Linked DNA regions of Saccharomyces cerevisiae S288C. Changing the gene in region 2 together with the main gene of any one other region gives a genetic interaction. Each region holds a gene or a part of one and is shown on either strand. Other genes may lie near its edges.

Region 1 (4,080 bases), on a different chromosome or scaffold from region 2:
TCTGTCTTCTTATTTCTGTTTCGATTTTTATTCCGCTTTTTATTTCCATTTTTAGCTTTATTTGTGCTCTCCTCATTCCCGATTGGAGTTCCTTCGTTTCCCAAACCAGAAGCTTTTCCCTGAGATTTTTTAGCTCCTGTTACAGATAGCTTGGTATCCATTTCCCTCACTACTTCTTTTTGAGAACACTTTTACGTAGAAGACAACGCTTTTTTTTTTTACAATATGGTATACTTCTACTTAATGCTTTTAAATTTTCACATAACTAATACTTTACCCGGTTTCATTGTGTCAGTAACAAAACAGATAAAGGCAAAAAGGTCCATCCTAGTAGTGTAAGGCAACTACATTACGATTGTGGGTTTATTACGTGAAAAAATGATGTCTATTGCAAAGTAGTAAAAATTTTTAAGAGAATTATACTTATATAAAGTACATAAAGAACAAATTCCAGGTAACTGGGGTCGGGAGAAAATAAAAATAAAAATACATTTTCAATGGTTTGGAGGTATTCTTTGAAATCATAAAGTTTTACATTCGTCACTCGTTAGCTAAAGCCCTTTAGAATGGCTTTTGAAAAAAATAAAAAAGACAATAAGTTTTATAACCTCTATTTTACTTCCCTTACTTGGAACTTGTCAATGTAGAACAAATTATCGACACCAGTGGTCATGTTCACAGATCCTAGAGCGTTACCGGTGGTCATGAAGTAGGTATTTGTAGAAACCACATCTCCATCGTTGAAGTACAATTCCAAGATGTTTTGATCCAGTAGGCCGTACACTTTATAGTAACTTAGGTCGTTCTCAGACTTGAATGGTTGGTTGTTGACAGACATTCTGTTTGTGAAATATGGGTTCTCCTTGACAAACTTGACCTTAGAGTTACCACGGTCCAAAAAGAAGGAAGAAGCACTGACTTCAAAACCCATTCTCAAATATTCTTCAGGATCTTCTAAACCCTTGAACCAAAGTGATAAGTCGGCAAAGACGGATTTGGATATGGTTTGTGTGGTGTTAACAGCGTAAACCAACTCAAACTCTAGGGTACCAGTCGAGTTGCTCAAATCGACATTGTAAGAATTGGCCTTAGTTAGAGTTGTGTTAGTAGCAAAACGAGACCAGGGACCAGCATTACTAATGTTCAATATTGGTTCGGCTTTCAAATTGATCAATTCAGTCTCTGGATTAGCTTGATATTCAGTGTTCAAAGAAAACTTGCGGACCAAAGACATGGATGATCTCCATGGGTTAGTTGGGACAAAGGCACTGTACTCCCAGTTTGAAGCCCAGGCAATACCTAATGCTGAACCGTAGGTTGGGTCAGTGTTGAAGAAAGTTTGCAAGGCATAGTAGTCCTTACCAAAATCTACCACTCTAGATTGATTGTCAAACGCTTCAAAATGAGTACCATTGAAGGATCCAACAAAATATTGGTTGAAGGAACCGCCAGCAGGTGCACCTGGGTTGATAGAAATAAACATGACCCAATAAGATTTGGAAGGATCTTGCTCAGTTGGGACTTCAATCAAACCTGGACATTCGTATTGGTAGCCTAAGAAACCTTCATTGGCAAATGCAGATTCTAGCTTCCAGGACTTCAAGTCATCAGAGGAGTAAATTTCAATTTTGTAGTCTTGTGATTTGGCAGCCGTCATAATCCATTTTTGAGAAGGTTCATACCAGAACACCTTTGGATCTCTGAATTGAGTGGAGTTGGCAGCTAAAACAGGGTTCTTTTGGTATTCAGTAAAAGTGTAACCACCATCAAGAGAATAGCTAATGTATTGCTCTTCACTTTCAGGAGTGTTATAAGTCCAAATCGCAACGCATCTTTGTCTTGGATCAATAGTATCATTGAAAAACCCACTCGTGTTGTTGTAATCAACCACCATGGAGCCAGAGAAAGCACCTGAATCGTTACGCTTGGGAGCGATAGCAATGGGTTGATCTTCCCAATTAGTCAAATCATCGGAAGTAGCATGGCCCCAAAACAATGGCGTACCCCATACGGTGTCATTTGGGTTGTATTGAAAGTACAGATGCCATTTGGCATCTTTTTCATCGTACCACAACCCATTTGGGTCATTCATCCAGCCCTTGTTGGGTGTGAAGTGGACCAAAGGTCTATCGCTAGTTTCGTTTGTCATTGATGCAGATATTTTGGCTGCAAAACCAGCCAAAAGGAAAAGGAAAGCTTGCAAAAGCATCATATACGTTAGTGAAAAGAAAAGCTTTTTGTTTTGCTTGTTTCTCTGAGAGAAAAAAAAAAGTAAGATATATGGTAAAAAAAAAGCACAAGAACAAGAGAATGTTTTGAAGAATAATACATATCTATTTATATGTTTCTTTTCAGGAGGAAGGATTATAGGATCGAAATCCAAAAAAAAAAAGTCGTCAAATCTTTCTTCCAAATGGTTTACTATAGAGCCCTTAGGCAACATTTTTGTCAAACAAAGTCGTTTAAGCATTCCTCGAAAAGAAACGTCTCTATGATGGTAATAGGCAAACATCGGGCGTACCTTAAAAGTCTTAGACATCACATAAAGGGATTTATAATCACATTCCTCGTCAGTTTTTCCAGAAACCTCCATGGAAAAACCCTGGACGTGGGGTCGATTAACGCTACGCGTATTTCTTCGCCCCCGGATAATTTCCTAAACTGGGTTTTTTCTTTTTATTCCTGTTCAGAGTAATAAAAATGCGGGGAATAATGGAAGCCCTCATAATGGATCGAGTTCAACAAAGGCACGCCTTTGGTAGAAGAATACTGTGGGCCTTTCTAACGTAGCATACCGACTGGTAATTTGCTCACAAACTATTCTAAATGACGTACTTTTTTGAGCTTTGCTGGGGGAGCGAGAACTACGCTAGGACAACAACTCCCATACGGTAAATGTCTTAGTATGTCGTGCTTGTACAAACGAAACATGATAAAATGGATACCTTCGACAGCTCACCGTGCCCCTGTCCTTTGTTCATTGGGAAACCTCCTGCCGTAATTCTACATACTATACTCGATACCCGAGATTGTGACGTGTGGATGCTAAGCCCCTATAACCTCAAACTTTTTAGCTTGGAAAGGCACTTAACTCAATTATAGGTTGTTGCGAATTCTGAATTTTTACAGCTACTTCTGTAGGGAATTCAGACCTCCGTACGGTATCTCCCTGTTTACTACAGGGGAAAACTTAGTTTTTTTTTTACTATAGTATATGCAAGGCCCTGAAGCTCCATGATATTTCGTAGATTATTCGGCTTCCTATTCAAGGCAATGTCTAGCCGTTTAATGTGCGACGGCATTAGCAAAGCTTCTTCAGTTAATAACTTTTCTACGTTCTTTAGCGCATTAATAGACTGATCGTCTATTACCATCGTGGAAATGAGGTATAGCACCTAAGAATACAGCGAAGGAGGTCTAACTGCTTCCCAGAAGTCACAGGAAAATAAACTTTTTTTTTTTATTTTCCGCTTTTTTCATAAACTTCTTTCACACTTTCCGCTTTTCCATACTTGGTAAATGCACATAATGCTATTGTAATATACAACCATGATTTCACTTCCCCTGGCGCAACAGTATGTTGTTAGCTATGATACAAAAATTTTTTAAGGCCATTTGAAAGCATCAATTTCTCAGAACACACTTCATCTACTGCAAAAGAAGACTTTCGAAGAAAAGTACAAATTGCGACGAACTACTTTCATAGTAACAAAATGAACAGTGACATTGAAAAGCAGAGAATGTTGAACATAGGCTAATTTTACGTTCTCACAGCCTGGCTAGCACCTAGAAACGACGCATGCTGCCATGTTAGTAGTCAAACAAAATTGAAGTGAGGCTCAAAATAGTTTGAATGAACACAACAAAACATTGGATAAGCTGTCATGCTACATTAGCAATACAAAAACCCGCACCCCGTAGTCACGTTCGCCTTCGCAGCTTTTTAAAAATGGCAAAGAGTCTGACTTATGCTCTGTTGACATTTAAGAGATACAATGAATCGATCCAACAATTATTAGCCATCAGTACTTCTCTTTTGTGAGGTAGGGCGACAAGAAAACGCACAAACTAGAGAAGATA
Region 2 (4,632 bases):
AAAACAATTTTTGGATTCTGCTACAGAGAAATACGAAGAGAAGGAAAAATTATTGAATTTGTATGCGCCTGTCTTTCACCCAACGCCTTTGCGACTGTATAAAGAACACGTGCAAGATGTTCTGGATATAAATTGGTCTAAAAATAATTTTATTTTGTCAGCATCGATGGATAAGACAGTAAAACTATGGCATCCCGATAGGAAAAATTCACTTAAGACATTCATACATCCTGATTTTGTCACTTGTGTGGAATTTCACCCCACCGACGATAGATTTTTCATTAGCGGCTGTCTGGATCACAAATGCAGGTTATGGTCTATACTGGATGATGAAGTTAGCTTTGAGTACGATTGTCAAGACTTAATAACATCTGTTACATTATCCCCTGAGGAGGGAAAATACACTATAATAGGAACATTTAATGGATACGTTCATATTCTGATGACCAGAGGTCTCACTCCAGTTTCTTCATTTCACGTAGCTGATAGACAAACACAAGAACAAAACGCTCACGTCATGGTCACGGAAACTGACTCAAAAATTCGTCATGGTCCACGTGTGACGGGTTTGCAAGCTTTTAGATCTCAACTGGACAATTCTTTCCGCTTAGTAGTTACATCGAATGATTCGAGGATAAGAATTTTTGACTTAGAACAGAGGAAGCTTCTAGAGGTATTGAAAGGCTTCCATAGCGGATCTTCCCAACACAAGGCACAATTGTCCATCTGGCATGGTCAGCCAATCGTTGTAAATAGTAGTGATGACCATTGGGTTTACGGCTGGAGGTTAAAGTCTTCGGATAGAGAGAATGATCAAGACGAACCTAAAAGGAAACCAAAGGGATTGGCTCGGTCCGGAAGTTTGAGAAGCATATTTAGTAAATCAATGAGTAGGTCTTCCAGCCAGAATAACGAAGAAAAACCACATCATCATTTAAAACTTACTAACTTACTTCCCTTGCCTCATCATAGCAACGATCATTATATCAAAAATACGGATTACATTTCTTTTCATGCACACAATGCCCCTGTTACTTGTGTTAGCATTGCACCGCCAGAAACTTCGAAAACATTATCTTTGTCTAACGATGTTATCTGCGAGCTATCTCTAGAGTTTTTTCAGACATCCGATAGTTTCGATGTTTTGAGTCGGAGTAACGACGATGGCATAATGTCAGATGTAGAGTCGTCTTTGGGCTACAATTCTAAACCAGGCTCAATTTCTAATGCTTCCGCCACCAGTGCTATCCCAGATGTCGTTGACGCAATTGGAACGATATTGATCAGTACTGATAACGTAGGGACTATTCGTGTGTTTAGAGCAGATATGCCCTCTGTTATAAGAAAGCGCGTGTTACTCAAACTAGAAGAATACAATAGAGAGGTTCGGAGAAGGTTTAACAGTTCTGATTCTTTGCATTCTTTGAGTCGAAGCTTCAACTCGAGAGCGAAATCAAACTTGGCTGGCCAACCGGCAGCGGCGTATACTAATACTGGAAAAGGCTATGCAACGGGACGTGGATACTCTAATATATGTCCCAAAAGCAGTACATCACTAAAAACACTCGGCAGTAATGCACAGCCAAGAACACCAAGGGAAAGCATGTCATCTATTTTCTCCAATGCACATGGGCCTACCACTCCAACGAGCGCAATGAATTTACCTATCCGTTGCAATGTTTGTAACGGTTCAAGGTTTGAGGCTTTTTCTGGTGCTAATGACCAACAAGATAGAAACTATTATTGCGTAGACTGCGGTACAGTAGTTAATAACTTCCGCTAACGCTGATGGAGTATTTTTTTTCCGTGGATGATACCTTTAAATGCATATTAATCTTCGTACATAAAGTAAAGAAACACGATACACTTAAATAAATTTTAATCTAATAATTAATGAACGCTAACAATGAGCCTATCATTTGTTGCCGATATACTATAACGTATCTCTTCGAAAGAACAAAACGGAGTGAGTGCCTGTTAAGGGTAACTACTCCAAACTGAGTGGACCTCGGCGGCTAAAGCTATACTTTTTCTGTTATTTAAGGGACCTAAAAATACACACAGAGTAGATTAAGATTTGGTGCACTTTTCTCAATTTATCAACTTATAAAGAACAGGCTGCCTTTCAAACATAGGACGTTTCTGTTGACCATAATGAAAATGCCCAGTATTATTCAGATTCAGTTTGTAGCCCTAAAAAGGCTTTTGGTAGAAACCAAAGAACAGATGTGCTTCGCAGTGAAAAGTATATTTCAGAGAGTATTTGCGTGGGTTATGTCATTAAGCTTGTTTTCATGGTTTTATGTAAATCTTCAGAATATTTTGATAAAAGCATTAAGGGTAGGGCCAGTGCCTGAACATGTCTCCTTTATCATGGATGGTAACCGGAGATATGCCAAGTCAAGAAGGCTACCAGTAAAAAAAGGCCATGAAGCTGGTGGGTTAACGTTACTAACACTACTGTATATCTGCAAAAGATTGGGTGTAAAATGTGTTTCCGCCTATGCATTTTCTATTGAAAATTTTAATAGACCAAAAGAAGAAGTAGATACGCTAATGAATTTGTTTACGGTAAAGCTTGATGAATTCGCAAAAAGAGCCAAGGACTATAAGGATCCCTTATACGGATCTAAAATAAGAATAGTAGGTGATCAATCTTTACTATCTCCAGAAATGAGAAAAAAAATTAAAAAAGTGGAAGAAATCACACAGGATGGAGACGATTTCACTTTATTTATATGTTTTCCTTACACTTCAAGAAATGATATGTTACATACTATTCGTGATTCAGTTGAAGACCATTTGGAAAATAAATCACCAAGGATTAATATAAGAAAATTTACTAATAAAATGTACATGGGTTTCCATTCCAATAAATGTGAATTATTAATCAGAACAAGTGGGCATAGGAGGCTCTCAGACTATATGCTATGGCAAGTACATGAAAATGCCACCATTGAATTTAGTGATACGTTGTGGCCAAATTTTAGCTTCTTTGCTATGTACCTGATGATTCTCAAATGGTCCTTCTTTTCCACCATTCAAAAATATAATGAGAAGAATCACTCATTGTTTGAAAAAATACATGAAAGCGTTCCTTCAATATTTAAAAAAAAGAAAACAGCTATGTCTTTGTACAACTTTCCAAACCCCCCCATTTCAGTTTCGGTTACAGGAGATGAATAAGTAAAAGTGCAAAACTAGAAAGCCCAAGAGAGGGCAAAGAACATTCTGAAAACTCCCTGATTCTTCCATACCTATTACCATATTACATCATTTTTAATTAGTAGTCTTTTAATTATCTATTATATCCGGTATATAAAATATCCTTGCGCCAAGTGTATAGCTAATAAAATGTAAAAAAAAAAAAAATTAGGAACAAAAAATAAAAAAAGCGAAAACAAAAAACTCCGTTAATGAATATTTCATGATCTTGTTAAACCTAGGTCATCGAAATCCCCTTGTACTTTACTCAGGTATGCTATTTTCATCCCTATTGCTTATTTCATCAGGTACGGTGGTGGATATATTAGGAGTGAACGTACTGGTAGAATTCGAAACATCAGCTGCTGTAGTAGCGGTGGCATTTAAAGAACTAGGCTCATTTGGGGTATTGACACCTGTGGTAGTATTCGTGGATCTCATATGACTTGATCCAACTTCGTGACACCAATACCTATGATATCCCCATGCTTTTAATTGACACTTTCGTGAGCAATATTTCGTTCTTTTGCATCGACGACATTTTGCAAATTGTCTTGGAAAATCTTCCCATTTTCCGCACGAAAAATTGGCACACTGACGCACACCTAAGATCTCATTTTTTCGACATGAATTTCTCATGATGACAGAACTCCAATATATAACATCATGTGTATTTTCTGCGCTCACTGTATATTTTTCGACTAAGGGGAAGATGTTTACAACATTTGTTAGTACCTTGTTTTTGTAAACAATATTTGTTAATTCCTTTTTCATTTTATCGTAGCTCCAGCGCCTTTCAAAGTTATCAGATATTTTCTTCCTTAAATTAATTCTTTCCTTGTCTTTGCCATAGGCATTGTCGTCGCTAGGTTTCGGTACACGGTAGCGCTCAAACAAATTAAGAACGGGACAGTGGTTATTACATATTTCATTTTGTTCTTCTTGTTGACATCTGTTTGAGAGTTCTTCTAATTCTTTGAAAAATGGATCCATTTTGCTAGTATCTAGTGCCTTAACTTTGGAATTGTTTTCAGGATTTTTCGATAAATAAGGATATAATGAAGACAATTTTACAGTTACGTCTCTTTCTTGTTCTTCTAAGTCATTCTCTTCTGAGATTCTCTGTTTAATTTTGTAAGCCATACTTCTGAACGATAGGGATTCAACCAGCTCAACATTTTGAAGGGTTGATTTCATATATGTATACTTCGAAACAAAAGCTAATAACTGAAGCGACCATATAACGTCGTCTTGTTTGGGGACAATTCTTCCGAGAAAAAATTCACGTGGAGTGGAAATTGTAGGTCTATTAATGTCTGGTTGCGAAAAGAAATTCTTATGTGCATCAAAATTTTCACTTTCTACTTCACTATCAATATCAATGTCGTCGTCGTGTCTTTCCTGGTCAGGTTCAAAATTGCTAGCTAG
Region 3 (7,514 bases), on a different chromosome or scaffold from region 2:
TTGCCGATTAATGTCAGCGACAACCCATATACAGCAGCCGACAATTTTTTGGCTCGTTATGAACTGCCAATGAGTTATAGGGATCAAGTAGTACAGTTCATACTGAAGAACACTAATGGCATATCGCTAGACCAGCCCAACGATAATGCATCATCTTCTGCAGTATCACCTTCAAAAACGAGCGTAATGAAGGTTCTTCCTGTCAAGCAGTATCTTATCATGGAAAATTATAACCCAGATACTATTTTCAATGGAATAGTAAAAATAAATTCAAATGAGAAGACCTTTGATGATGAAATTCTGGCGCAAATTGGTGGCGCACTACATGACATAGATGAAAGCTGGGAGTTGCTACTTTCATTTGCTAACACTATAAGATCTAACTGGGAAATTAAGACTCCTGCATACGACATAGTACGATTGATTGTAAAAAAATTACCTTATTCTTCAGATATAAAAGATTACATCGAAGAAGGCTTGGGCAATAAGAATATCACTCTAACCATGTTAACTGTGCGTATTTTGGTAAATTGCTTCAATAATGAAAACTGGGGTGTGAAATTACTGGAATCAAATCAAGTTTATAAATCAATTTTTGAGACTATAGATACTGAATTTTCTCAGGCATCTGCTAAACAGTCACAGAATTTGGCTATTGCAGTTTCCACACTAATTTTCAACTATTCAGCTCTCGTCACGAAAGGGAACTCTGATTTAGAACTTTTGCCTATCGTAGCTGACGCCATCAACACCAAGTATGGGCCATTGGAAGAGTATCAAGAATGCGAAGAAGCCGCATATAGGCTAACCGTAGCTTACGGAAATTTGGCTACTGTTGAACCTACATTAAGACAATTTGCCAACTCCGTAACTTGGCTTGCAAACATCAAAAGGAGCTATGGGAACGTGCCAAGGTTTAAGGATATTTTCGACGATCTCTCCTAATACTTTTACAGCAATCATATAAAACACATAATGTCTAGATAGCAAATAATCTTTAAAATTCTTTCTGCCCTATTGAAAATTATGACAAACTATCACGGTCATTTTCTGTCTAACTCGGCAAGAAATTATCATCGTGAAATGAAAAAGGTTACATACAATAAGGTTATTTTGAGTACAGACTGATAAATAGATGGAAAAGACTAAAAAACTGAAACGATAAGCGTCTAGTACCTTTTCCATTAGACGATTCAATACTGCATTTTGCAATGGACAAAGCATTTGACGAAATTATTGGAAATAGTCACACAGACAGCTCATCTAATCATAAGGTAACGAGATACCGCAGAAGGGATTTAAGAAATGAATTAGGACCTAGACTGGGATTTGCGCCTTCGGATGCTGCATCAAGGTCGAAAGATCGCCTTTATAGAGAGAGGGAAGAGCCTCCTTTGCCTAAGAGAATTAGAATATCCAAAATCCCACTAGACGTTTCTGACTACACCCTCGATGATATGATTAAAGAGTTTGGCTCGCCAATATTTTCGAAAATTTTTGACAATAAAGAGGATCGTACATGTATTTACGAATTTGAAGACCCAGAAGTTTTGGAAAAGATTGTCGAGCGTTATAATGGACATGAGTTACATAATGCAAAAATTGAAGTGGAGATTTACCAACCACAGAGAAAGCATTCTAGAATGAATGCCCACAACCGTCGCAAACAGACGGCTCAAGAACACGGAAGAGGCAGGCCAGGGAGCCATTATCGCCAAAAGCCTAACAGAGTCTCCAAAAAGAACAAGGGCCGTGAGAAGAATAACACTCCTACTTCTGTCGAAGCTCTTGACGCTGAATTAGATGCTTACATGAAAGGTTAAGCAATTGTGTATCTACTTATAATTTCTTTATAGTCTTTTCAATGTTTTTTTACTCCATCAGTCTACAGATATGAAACCTCAGTACTACTTTTTACCTAAATAATTAATTTTTATTTCTAGAGGGTAGCAATGATAAACACTTTACCAATCTCTGGAATTAAGAACAAGCGTACTCCGCTCTATTCAGTATTATTTGCATGAATACTTCAACAATTGTTTTGTTTGCCTCAGGTGCTTTTCCGATTGAGCACGATCGCCATAACATTACCACTGAAAAGAAAGATAAGATCAAATGTTACGTGGTGTTGAAGAAAGAATGCCAAAAACTAAGAACTGAACTTAAACAGTAATAATTTTGAGCATTGAAAACCTAAATATAACTTCTTGGTATACAATGCAGAAAGGAAACATAAGAATTGCCATCGATAAGGGTGGAACTTTCACTGATTGTGTGGGGAATATTGGTACAGGTAAACAAGAACATGATACTGTCATCAAGCTCTTGTCGGTGGATCCCAAAAACTATCCAGATGCTCCCCTTGAAGGCATAAGACGTCTCTTGGAGGTGCTTGAACACAAGACAATTCCTCGCGGTATTCCTCTAGACATCTCTAATGTGAGAAGTTTAAGAATGGGGACAACCCTAGCTACAAACTGCGCTCTAGAAAGAAATGGTGAACGTTGTGCCTTCATTACTACGAAAGGCTTTAAGGATTCATTGCTGATTGGAGACCAAACCAGGCCAGATATCTTCAACTTAAATATAAAAAAGGTAGTGCCATTATATGACACTGTAGTTGAAATAGATGAGAGAGTTACTTTAGAAGATTTCTCGGAAGACCCTTATTTTACCAAATCGTCTCCTAATGAACAAGAAGGTATCCTGGAAGGTAATAGTGGCGAAATGGTAAGGGTCATAAAGAAGCCAGATGAATCAAGCGTAAGATCTATTCTGAAAGTGCTTTATGCTAGCGGAATCAAGTCTATTGCGATAGCATTTTTACACTCATACACTTTTCCAGACCATGAGCGAATTGTTGGTAATATTGCCAGGGAGATTGGGTTTTCTCATGTTTCATTATCATCTGAAGTCTCTCCAATGATAAAATTTTTACCGAGGGCTCACAGTTCTGTCGCAGATGCCTACCTTACTCCGGTAATTAAAAAGTACTTGAATAGCATTTCTGCAGGTTTGAGCCACGCAGAAGATACCCACATTCAATTCATGCAGTCTGATGGTGGTTTAGTGGATGGGGGAAAATTTTCCGGTTTGAAATCTATTTTATCTGGTCCTGCAGGTGGCGTAATAGGTTATTCTAGTACATGCTATGATAAAAATAATAACATACCCTTAATAGGCTTTGACATGGGAGGAACATCTACTGATGTCAGTAGGTACGGCGATGGGAGGTTAGAACATGTTTTTGAAACTGTTACCGCAGGGATCATCATACAATCTCCTCAACTTGACATCCATACTGTTGCTGCTGGAGGAAGTTCTATTTTGTCATGGAAAAACGGGTTATTCAGAGTAGGCCCTGATTCAGCAGCTGCTGATCCAGGCCCTGCAGCCTACAGAAAGGGCGGGCCTTTGACCATTACAGACGCCAACCTCTTTTTAGGACGTTTGGTTCCTGAGTTCTTCCCCAAAATTTTTGGGCCCAATGAGGATGAATCACTTGACTTAGAAACCACTACTTTGAAATTCAGAGAATTAACAGATGTCATCAATAAGGATCTGAATTCAAATCTAACCATGGAAGAGGTTGCCTATGGATTTATCAAAGTAGCTAACGAATGCATGGCAAGACCTGTGAGGGCCATTACAGAAGCAAAAGGACATGTAGTATCTCAGCATCGGTTAGTTTCCTTTGGCGGGGCTGGCGGGCAACACGCCATAGCGGTTGCAGATTCATTGGGCATTGACACTGTTTTAATTCATAGATATTCTTCTATCTTGTCCGCTTATGGCATTTTCTTAGCAGATGTTATTGAAGAAAACCAAGAGCCTTGCTCTTTTATCTTGGGTGAGCCAGAGACCATCTTGAAAGTGAAAAAAAGATTCTTAGAACTTTCTAAAAATTCAATCAAAAACCTTTTATCTCAGTCGTTTTCTCGGGAGGACATAGTCTTGGAAAGATATTTAAATCTCAGATATGAAGGTACTGAAACCAGTTTGATGATATTACAAAAATATGATGACCAATGGAATTTTAGGGAATGGTTCTCTGAAGCTCATAAAAAAGAGTTCGGATTCTCATTCGATGACAAACGAATTATAATTGATGATATAAGGATAAGAGCAATTGGGAAATCAGGCGTTAGAAAAGAAAAAACGGTTGATGAGCAATTGATTGAAATTTCCCATTTCAAGAAAGCCGACGTGTCAAAGGATGCTAGTTTTACCCAGAAAGCATATTTTGACAACAAATGGGTCGACACTGCGGTCTTCAAAATTGATGATCTTCCTGCCGGAACAATTATCGAGGGCCCAGCCATATTGGCTGACGGTACCCAAACAAATATTATTTTACCAAACAGCCAAGCAACAATTTTAAACTCTCATATATTTATCAAGATCAACCAAAAGGCTGCGAAGACATTATCTAAAAGCGGATATGAACTTGATATAGATCCAATCTTATTGTCTATTTTCAGTCATAGGTTTATGGATATCGCCCTCCAGATGGGTACTCAATTGAGGAAAACTTCTGTTTCAACTAACGTCAAAGAGAGATTAGATTTTTCATGTGCACTATTCGACTCTAAAGGAAACTTAGTCGCTAACGCTCCTCATGTACCTGTTCACTTAGGATCAATGTCAACCTGCATATCAGCACAGGCGAAGTTATGGGAAGGCAAATTAAAGCCTGGTGATGTTTTAATCACAAACCATCCGGATATTGGTGGTACTCATTTACCAGACATAACAGTAATAACTCCTTCTTTCTCTTCAACTGGCGAATTGATATTTTATGTGGCTTCAAGAGCCCATCATGCAGATATTGGAGGTATTCTACCCGGTTCAGTGCCTCCAAATTCCAAAGAATTGTACGAAGAAGGAACCGCAATTTATTCCGAATTGGTTGTCAAAGAGGGAATTTTCCAGGAAGAATTAATTTACAAGCTTTTCGTAGAAGATCCAGGCAAATACCCAGGCTGCTCAGGTTCAAGAAGATTTAGTGATAACATAAGCGATTTAAAAGCGCAAGTCGCAGCTAACACAAAAGGGATACAGTTAATTGGGTCATTAACTAAGGAATATGATCTGGCTACAATATTGAAATACATGGCTGCAATTCAGACAAATGCATCTGAATCCATAAAAAAAATGCTTGCAAAAATGGTTGAACATTTTGGCACAACGAAGTTTTCTGGCGAAGATCGCTTAGATGATGGAAGCTTAATTAAACTACAAGTTATCATAAGACCTGAAAAAGAGGAGTATATTTTTAATTTCGATGGCACTTCTCCCCAAGTTTATGGTAATTTAAATGCACCAGAGGCTATTACTAATTCTGCGATTCTTTATTGTCTACGGTGTCTAGTAGGCGAAGATATTCCTTTAAATCAAGGTTGTTTAAAACCCTTAACAATAAAAATTCCTGCTGGTTCCCTCTTGAGCCCCCGATCCGGTGCTGCTGTTGTCGGAGGCAATGTATTAACTTCCCAAAGAGTGACAGATGTAATCTTAAAAACATTTAACGTCATGGCAGATTCTCAAGGTGACTGTAACAACTTTACATTTGGAACTGGAGGAAATTCTGGTAACAAAACCGATAAGCAGATCAAAGGCTTTGGATATTATGAAACCATATGTGGCGGCTCGGGGGCTGGTGCAGATTCATGGAGAGGAAGTGGTTGGAATGGCTCAGACGCTGTACACACGAATATGACCAATACAAGAATGACAGATACTGAGGTATTTGAAAGGAGATACCCCGTTCTGTTGAAAGAGTTCTCGATCAGAAGAGGTTCAGGAGGCAAAGGTAAATATACTGGCGGAAATGGCGTAGTAAGGGATGTTCAATTTCGGAAGGCTGTAACAGCATCTATATTATCAGAACGTCGTGTCATTGGCCCTCATGGTATAAAGGGAGGACAAGACGGTAGTAGAGGTGAGAATTTATGGGTAAGACATAGCACAGGCGCATTAATCAATGTCGGCGGTAAAAATACGATTTACGCTCAACCCGGTGATCGATTCATCATTAAAACCCCTGGTGGTGGGGGATTTGGACAATACAAGGATTAAAGCATTTCTTTTTGGTTCTTAGTCAATATCGAATTACACGGAACCATTGGTATACCGTGGATGCGCCAGCCACAAATTGACTTTTACAGAAAGTACAGTTTAATTATATAAGAACAGGCACTTAACAATGTTTCGGAACTCTGTAGATAAAACCAAATTACTCTTTCGAAAAGGCTACATTCTACATCAAAATCACCTGTGCAATATATATATATATATATATATATATATATATGCACATATTCGTTAATTTCTTCACTTTTTTCCCCAAATATTAAACAGATGGCTTCATTTCTTCAACATTATTTTCTGGTTCCTATGCCATTTTTAGCCTACTAATAATTATCGTTGAAAAATGTTTCTTGAATAAGTCTTAATGTAAGGATATATCATATGTTGAGATATAAAAATTTAAGTATAAATGAATCAAGACAATAATTTACATTGATTAAGTTATTTCAAAGTATAAGTATTTAGTATCATCATCTATTAAAGCACATTGAACCCTAATGTATGATGCCAATTGCGAATGCACTCACCGAAAAATTAAGGAATTAGCATTTACCAACTATCCTTGATTTATGCAATTTCAAAATAATAAAATATTCATACGAATCTTAACACTCTTCCATAACTTGTCCCATCATAGTTCTTCAAATTCCGATAATTAAATGCTGTTCAACTTCCCACGGAACTGATCTATGGATGTATAACCCTTAGCTTCCATTATGTCTTTTAATTCTTTTTCGATACGTTCAAAAATCTTGACGCCCTCTTTTTGTAATTCTGTACCAATCTGTAGCATAGAGGCACCACATAGAAGATGTTCAAATGCATCCTTACCGGACTTAATTCCACCTGTACCGATAACTTTGATTTCAGGTCTCAAACGAGTGTAAAATGCACGAACATTGGCGAGCGCGGTTGGCTTAACATATTCACCTCCAATACCCCCGAAACCATTCTTTGGCTTCACTACTACACTCTCCTTCTCCACATCAATGAAAAGACCATTTCCTATACTATTGATAGAGTTGACATAAGCTAATGGGAACTCGTTCAATATTTTTGCCATGATATCAAAATGGGCAAAATCAAAATAAGGAGGCAACTTGACACCAAGAGGTTTTTTGAAAAAGGCAAAAACCTTTTCCAAGGTTTCCTTTGTCAAGTCAAAGTCATAAGCAACTTGTGGTTTCCCAGGCACATTAGGACAAGACAAGTTTAACTCGGTAATACCGTTGAATTCGCTATCTTGGATTTTCCTCAACAAATTTAAATTTTCATCAATGCTCATACCAGCAACTGAGAAGAAAATAGCAGGTGCATCAGGATAATTCTTTTGACGGTTTAATACATAGGACAAATAGTAGTCGATACCTTCGTTTGGTAAACCCATGGAGTTGATACTGCCTAGAGGGACAGAAATGTAACGT
Region 4 (4,325 bases), on a different chromosome or scaffold from region 2:
TTCAGTGAGTATATTCTCCAAAGCCCTCTCTGTAGCTTGTGAAAACAATACGCCATCAGATTTGCGGAAACTCAATTGCACGAATTCTGTCGATGATCCTGTCGAGGACGAGGACGATAATGCCGAGTGCGAGCTCTTGTTTCTAGCCAGTGAATTTTTTTCTAGCTCAATATGGACCCTAGAATCATGAAAGTTTAGCCTGTTCAGCTTTGATCGTACTTTGGATGCATTAGGCAATCTGTGGCCGCAAATCTCGCAATTTCCTATTTGAGGATGATTAGCAAAAGTACAGGCGGGGCAAATGTTCTCAGAGTTCACTCCGAACTGATTCTGTGGGTTGGCGTTCGGGTCGATTGCATTAGAACAATTTATAGACGACTTGGTGAGCTCATAGTCCGCTGGCACACCGCAATTGATACAAATGGGTGTAGGTAGAGTGTCTTTAGTGAATTCCCCCTGCGTTTCGTTCGAAACCATACAGATGGGGCAGACCCACGTCGAAACAACGTCGGCACTTGCTGTTTCCGCACTTTTACCAAGTTCATCCTTACTGGAGGGGTCCTTGAAAAACAGGATCAGACGAGGTGATCTGGTCAAGAAGCCAGATGAATAGTTTACATACGCTAGATCGTCCAATTCCAACCCAAGCGAGTTCTGAGTGGGCTTTGCATCGTCGATGTAGATAATTCTTTGTGACGTTAAAAAGATTCTGCCCCTCTGTCGCTGTAGAATCTTAGATTTGCCATGGTAAAGACCTACGGACTGATCGATAAAGATATCTTTTTCACCTTCTCGAAGAAGAGGTTGGCCCGATGACGTAGTTTCCACATAATGCCAGTACTCCATCTTTTGAAAAAAAAAGAATGACTTTCAAAACACACTTCCTGATTCCTAGCCGAGGTCCCCTATTCTATCTTGGATGACCTTTTCTCTGCTTTTTTGTTTTTCAGTCTCCATCTTTTCCAGATGAAACATGTGAAACCCTTTTTCCTCTTCGTTGATCCTAAAAAAAGCGCGTCTGGAAAACAAGGCGAAGCTTCCTCACATGGAAAAGGCTTCTTAATATGTCGCTACGCCTCATTCCCATTGCATACAGAAAGCAAAGTAGTGCGTTTTGCGAACGTCACAGATCAAAAGTTTGGCCATGCATTGTCATTCTTTTTTTCTTACATACACTGCACCAGACATGTCGGTTCCGCCCCGCTAACGGTTAGTCAGCCACACATTGACGTACACTGTGAACAGCCTATTTCTTTCCATGTATCTCAGTGCCCAGCTTATGAGAACTGTCACAGCCTCCCACTTGACCCTCAGAGCCCTCTCCACTCCCCCCCTCTTTCAACATCGCCAGATAGCCGCCGTTGAATGGTGCGGGACAACCCGGCCTGGCCTGGCCAGGCAAAAAAGGACGCAGCACGCCTCGAGCGTTATTTCCAAATCGGGCGTACTATCAGCCAAGCCCAGCTCGGTATTTTTAGCGCTTCTCGCAGGAAAATTGGCTGAGAAGTATATATACGCGAGAATGTTGCTCTTCCATGTCTCAGTAGTCAATGAGTGTCCAGTGGTGTTTCATTCTGGACCAGTTGTTTGGAAGTAGAACTAAAAGAAACTAGATCAAGATCATACAACGCTGCGCAGTAGTGAAACTTGATTAAAGCAATAGAGAACTATTAAGAAAAAAACAAACACATCATCGAAGGACGCTATAAGCATGAGGAATTTTTTCACGTTATTTTTTGCAGCTATATTTTCGCTAGGAGCACTTATATTAGCCATTGTTGCATGCGCAGGATCAACGAAAAATTACAGTCCCATAAATAAAATTTACTGTGCAGAATTGGATCTGTCGCAGATGAAGGTATCGACGGTGCTCCCTTCTTTGAGTTCTGCTACGCTATCTTCGTTGGGCCTGCCCTCATATATAAATATAGGGCTTTGGTCGTACTGTACAGTGGACTCCTCGCATAACATCCAATCATGTTCTTCGCCTCACGGTATCCAGAATTTTAACCTATCGTCATTAGTGTATGACAATATCAACAACAATGAGGCTCTGGAGCTTATGGATTCCGTGGCCAGTGTTGTTTTGCCCGAAAAACTAAAAAGTAAAATGACATACTACAACAATTTGGTCAAGTGTATGTTCATTACCATTCTTATTGGTATTGTCTTGACCTTTGTGAATCTAGTGTTCAACGTATTGCGCTGGATCATCCACATAAGGCCGCTAACGTGGTTTGGTGCCTTTTTTTCATTTTTCGCCTTTGCCGCCCTATTAGTCAGTATAGGTTCGTGTTTGGGCACTTACTCATACATCAAATACATCCTAAAGCATAACTATAGTGATTACGGTATTTCAATGAGCATTGGTAGGAACTACCAGGGTTTGATGTGGGGGGCTGTCGTTGGAGCATTACTGAATTTCATTCTATGGTGTAGCGTGAGATCGAGGCCCACCGTCATCTATGCGAACGCTCCAATTGAGGAAAAACCATTGATTTGAATTTGAAAAAGGCAAGGTTATTAATTAATTTTTGTGTTCCGTTTCATATTAAATATGATTAAAATATATTGTCTATATACAATTCAGAAAATTATAATGAAGAAAATTAAAAGGATGGAGAATTGAAAAAATTTACGGGGTGATGTTGCATGATCTTCTTTTTATTATTTTACCTTGCAAAGTTTTTTTCAGCATCAATGGGGCTTTCGTGTTCTTCAATGATTCTTGAGGTAGTAGAGTCACTTTCTTGAACAGCTTTCTCAGCTTCCACGATGGCAGCTCCCTTTCTGCTGCTCCACCAGCAGTATGCAATGCAGAGAAATACAAGGACGGCAAATACAAATCCAGACCACATTAGGCCATAAAATGGAGAAGAGCCAGAAATAATGACATCGTAATTGTCCTTCTTGGAGCCGGATTTCATCATATTAAGGATGACGCTAAAGATTGTGCTTCCCAACCCGCTGAAAATACATATCCAACAGGAAATAAAGCCCAATGCCAACCATAATTTTTGACTCACCACGGAACGTCTACTTAGTAGCAACAAGAATACCATTAAGAAGAAGGATGTGATTATGCACATTAAGTTCATAGCTAAAGCTGCTTTCACTGCTGGGACATACATGTGTTGTCTGTCTTGTAATTCACCATCTAAATGCAAATCGTCCTTACCGATGTTCAGGGCATCCATATAAGGTTTAAAGTCCGAGCCTTCAATGTTGTTGTAAACAATCGACCGGAAATCCATGTTTTGAACAGCGTGTGACTTGCTACACGAGTACATTGTTCTGTTTAAGTGAGCACGACACATTGTGAAAATGGACAAACGGTATATGACAGGGATGTGTAGATATTCAAGGATAGAAGGAGTCATTTCCTTGAGTTGTTCTGGTGTGATAGTTGTCATGTTTACAGCAGAGTTTAAAATTTTCAACATGGGCATAAATGTAGCGGCATTAGTTTCTGCCCATTTGGTGATATTAACCAGAGAAGAGAAACTTGACACGGGGTCGCTTGACGCAGCTAATAGGCTGAACAAGTATGGAACGTACTTAAGTAATACGGTGTTATTGGCCAATTGGGATTCCAAAGTAGGGATTATGGAAACAACTGTGGATGCGTTAGCACTTGCAGAAAGGATTTCATCAAGTGCCACCAATTGGTTAGTAGAGGAAGCGGCTTCTTTAGAGAGGGCCAAACTTTCGACAGATGTTAGCAGCTCTGTTTGGTTTGTAGTGTAATTCAACAAGTCAGTCAAAGCACCCATGGCAGCTTTAGCGGAAGATGATTGGGTAATGTTTTCGGCAATCATAGTGCTCAATACGGATAATGTTACATTTTGAGATGTAGTTTCATCAAACAGAGTAACAACAGCTTGGACAGCTGGTTTTAAACTCGAAGGAACGAGGGAGCCTAATTGCATAATAGTTTCAGTAGCATTGCCACCTTCCGCAAGACTGGTTTTTAGACTAGAAAACAATGAGGAGACCGTTGAAGTTGGAATGGTAGAGTTCATTATGGTTTCTAACGCATCGCATGTGGCAGTAATGTTCTTGGAACTTGCGAATAACTCGAATACAGGCGACAATTTTGTCTTTTCTTCTGTGGTCATATTATTTAAAGTGATCAAAGACTCAGTAGTGCCTATAGGATTGGTCGAATCCACTAATAGGGTTAGAACAGTATTTTCTAAGGAAGCCGAAGTAGAAGAAGTGTTGGTTGACATAGATGACATCAATGTGCTAAACCCATCCAAGAGTTCGGTTGTGTTTTTAGAGGTAGTCAATAACTCATCAAGAGCGGAGAAGGTCGTGGTAGT

Evidence for each region.
Region 1: mutations in SRT1 (region 2) and YIL163C together harm fitness more than expected from each alone (negative genetic interaction), as found in Saccharomyces cerevisiae (one large-scale study listed by BioGRID).
Region 3: mutations in SRT1 (region 2) and OXP1 together harm fitness more than expected from each alone (negative genetic interaction), as found in Saccharomyces cerevisiae (one large-scale study listed by BioGRID).
Region 4: mutations in SRT1 (region 2) and PUN1 together harm fitness more than expected from each alone (negative genetic interaction), as found in Saccharomyces cerevisiae (one large-scale study listed by BioGRID).

Annotation. Positions count from the first base shown.
Region 1 is NC_001141.2:35,514-39,593, reverse strand, and holds YIL163C (uncharacterized protein), read left to right. Parts: upstream 1-2,341; coding exon 2,342-2,695; downstream 2,696-4,080. Other genes in the region: SMU2 (Smu2p), read right to left, coding at 1-161; beta-fructofuranosidase SUC2, read right to left, coding at 611-2,209.
Region 2 is NC_001145.3:466,999-471,630, reverse strand, and holds SRT1 (ditrans,polycis-polyprenyl diphosphate synthase), read left to right. Parts: upstream 1-2,154; coding exon 2,155-3,186; downstream 3,187-4,632. Other genes in the region: LAF1 (Laf1p), read left to right, coding at 1-1,783; MYND-type zinc finger protein MUB1, read right to left, coding at 3,469-4,632. UniProt on the Saccharomyces cerevisiae protein: With NUS1, forms the dehydrodolichyl diphosphate synthase (DDS) complex, an essential component of the dolichol monophosphate (Dol-P) biosynthetic machinery.
Region 3 is NC_001143.9:25,391-32,904, reverse strand, and holds OXP1 (5-oxoprolinase), read left to right. Parts: upstream 1-2,217; coding exon 2,218-6,078; downstream 6,079-7,514. Other genes in the region: DOA1 (Doa1p), read left to right, coding at 1-945; YRA2 (Yra2p), read left to right, coding at 1,212-1,823; URA1 (dihydroorotate dehydrogenase), read right to left, coding at 6,746-7,514. UniProt on the Saccharomyces cerevisiae protein: Catalyzes the cleavage of 5-oxo-L-proline to form L-glutamate coupled to the hydrolysis of ATP to ADP and inorganic phosphate.
Region 4 is NC_001144.5:951,531-955,855, reverse strand, and holds PUN1 (Pun1p), read left to right. Parts: upstream 1-1,711; coding exon 1,712-2,503; downstream 2,504-4,325. Other genes in the region: ESCRT-II subunit protein VPS36, read right to left, coding at 1-846; YLR415C (uncharacterized protein), read left to right, coding at 1,259-1,597; INA1 (Ina1p), read right to left, coding at 2,673-4,325. UniProt on the Saccharomyces cerevisiae protein: Contributes to the wild-type cellular response to nitrogen stress through signaling pathways that regulate the expression of genes involved in amino acid biosynthesis. Required for wild-type filamentous growth, cell growth, and cell-cell adhesion.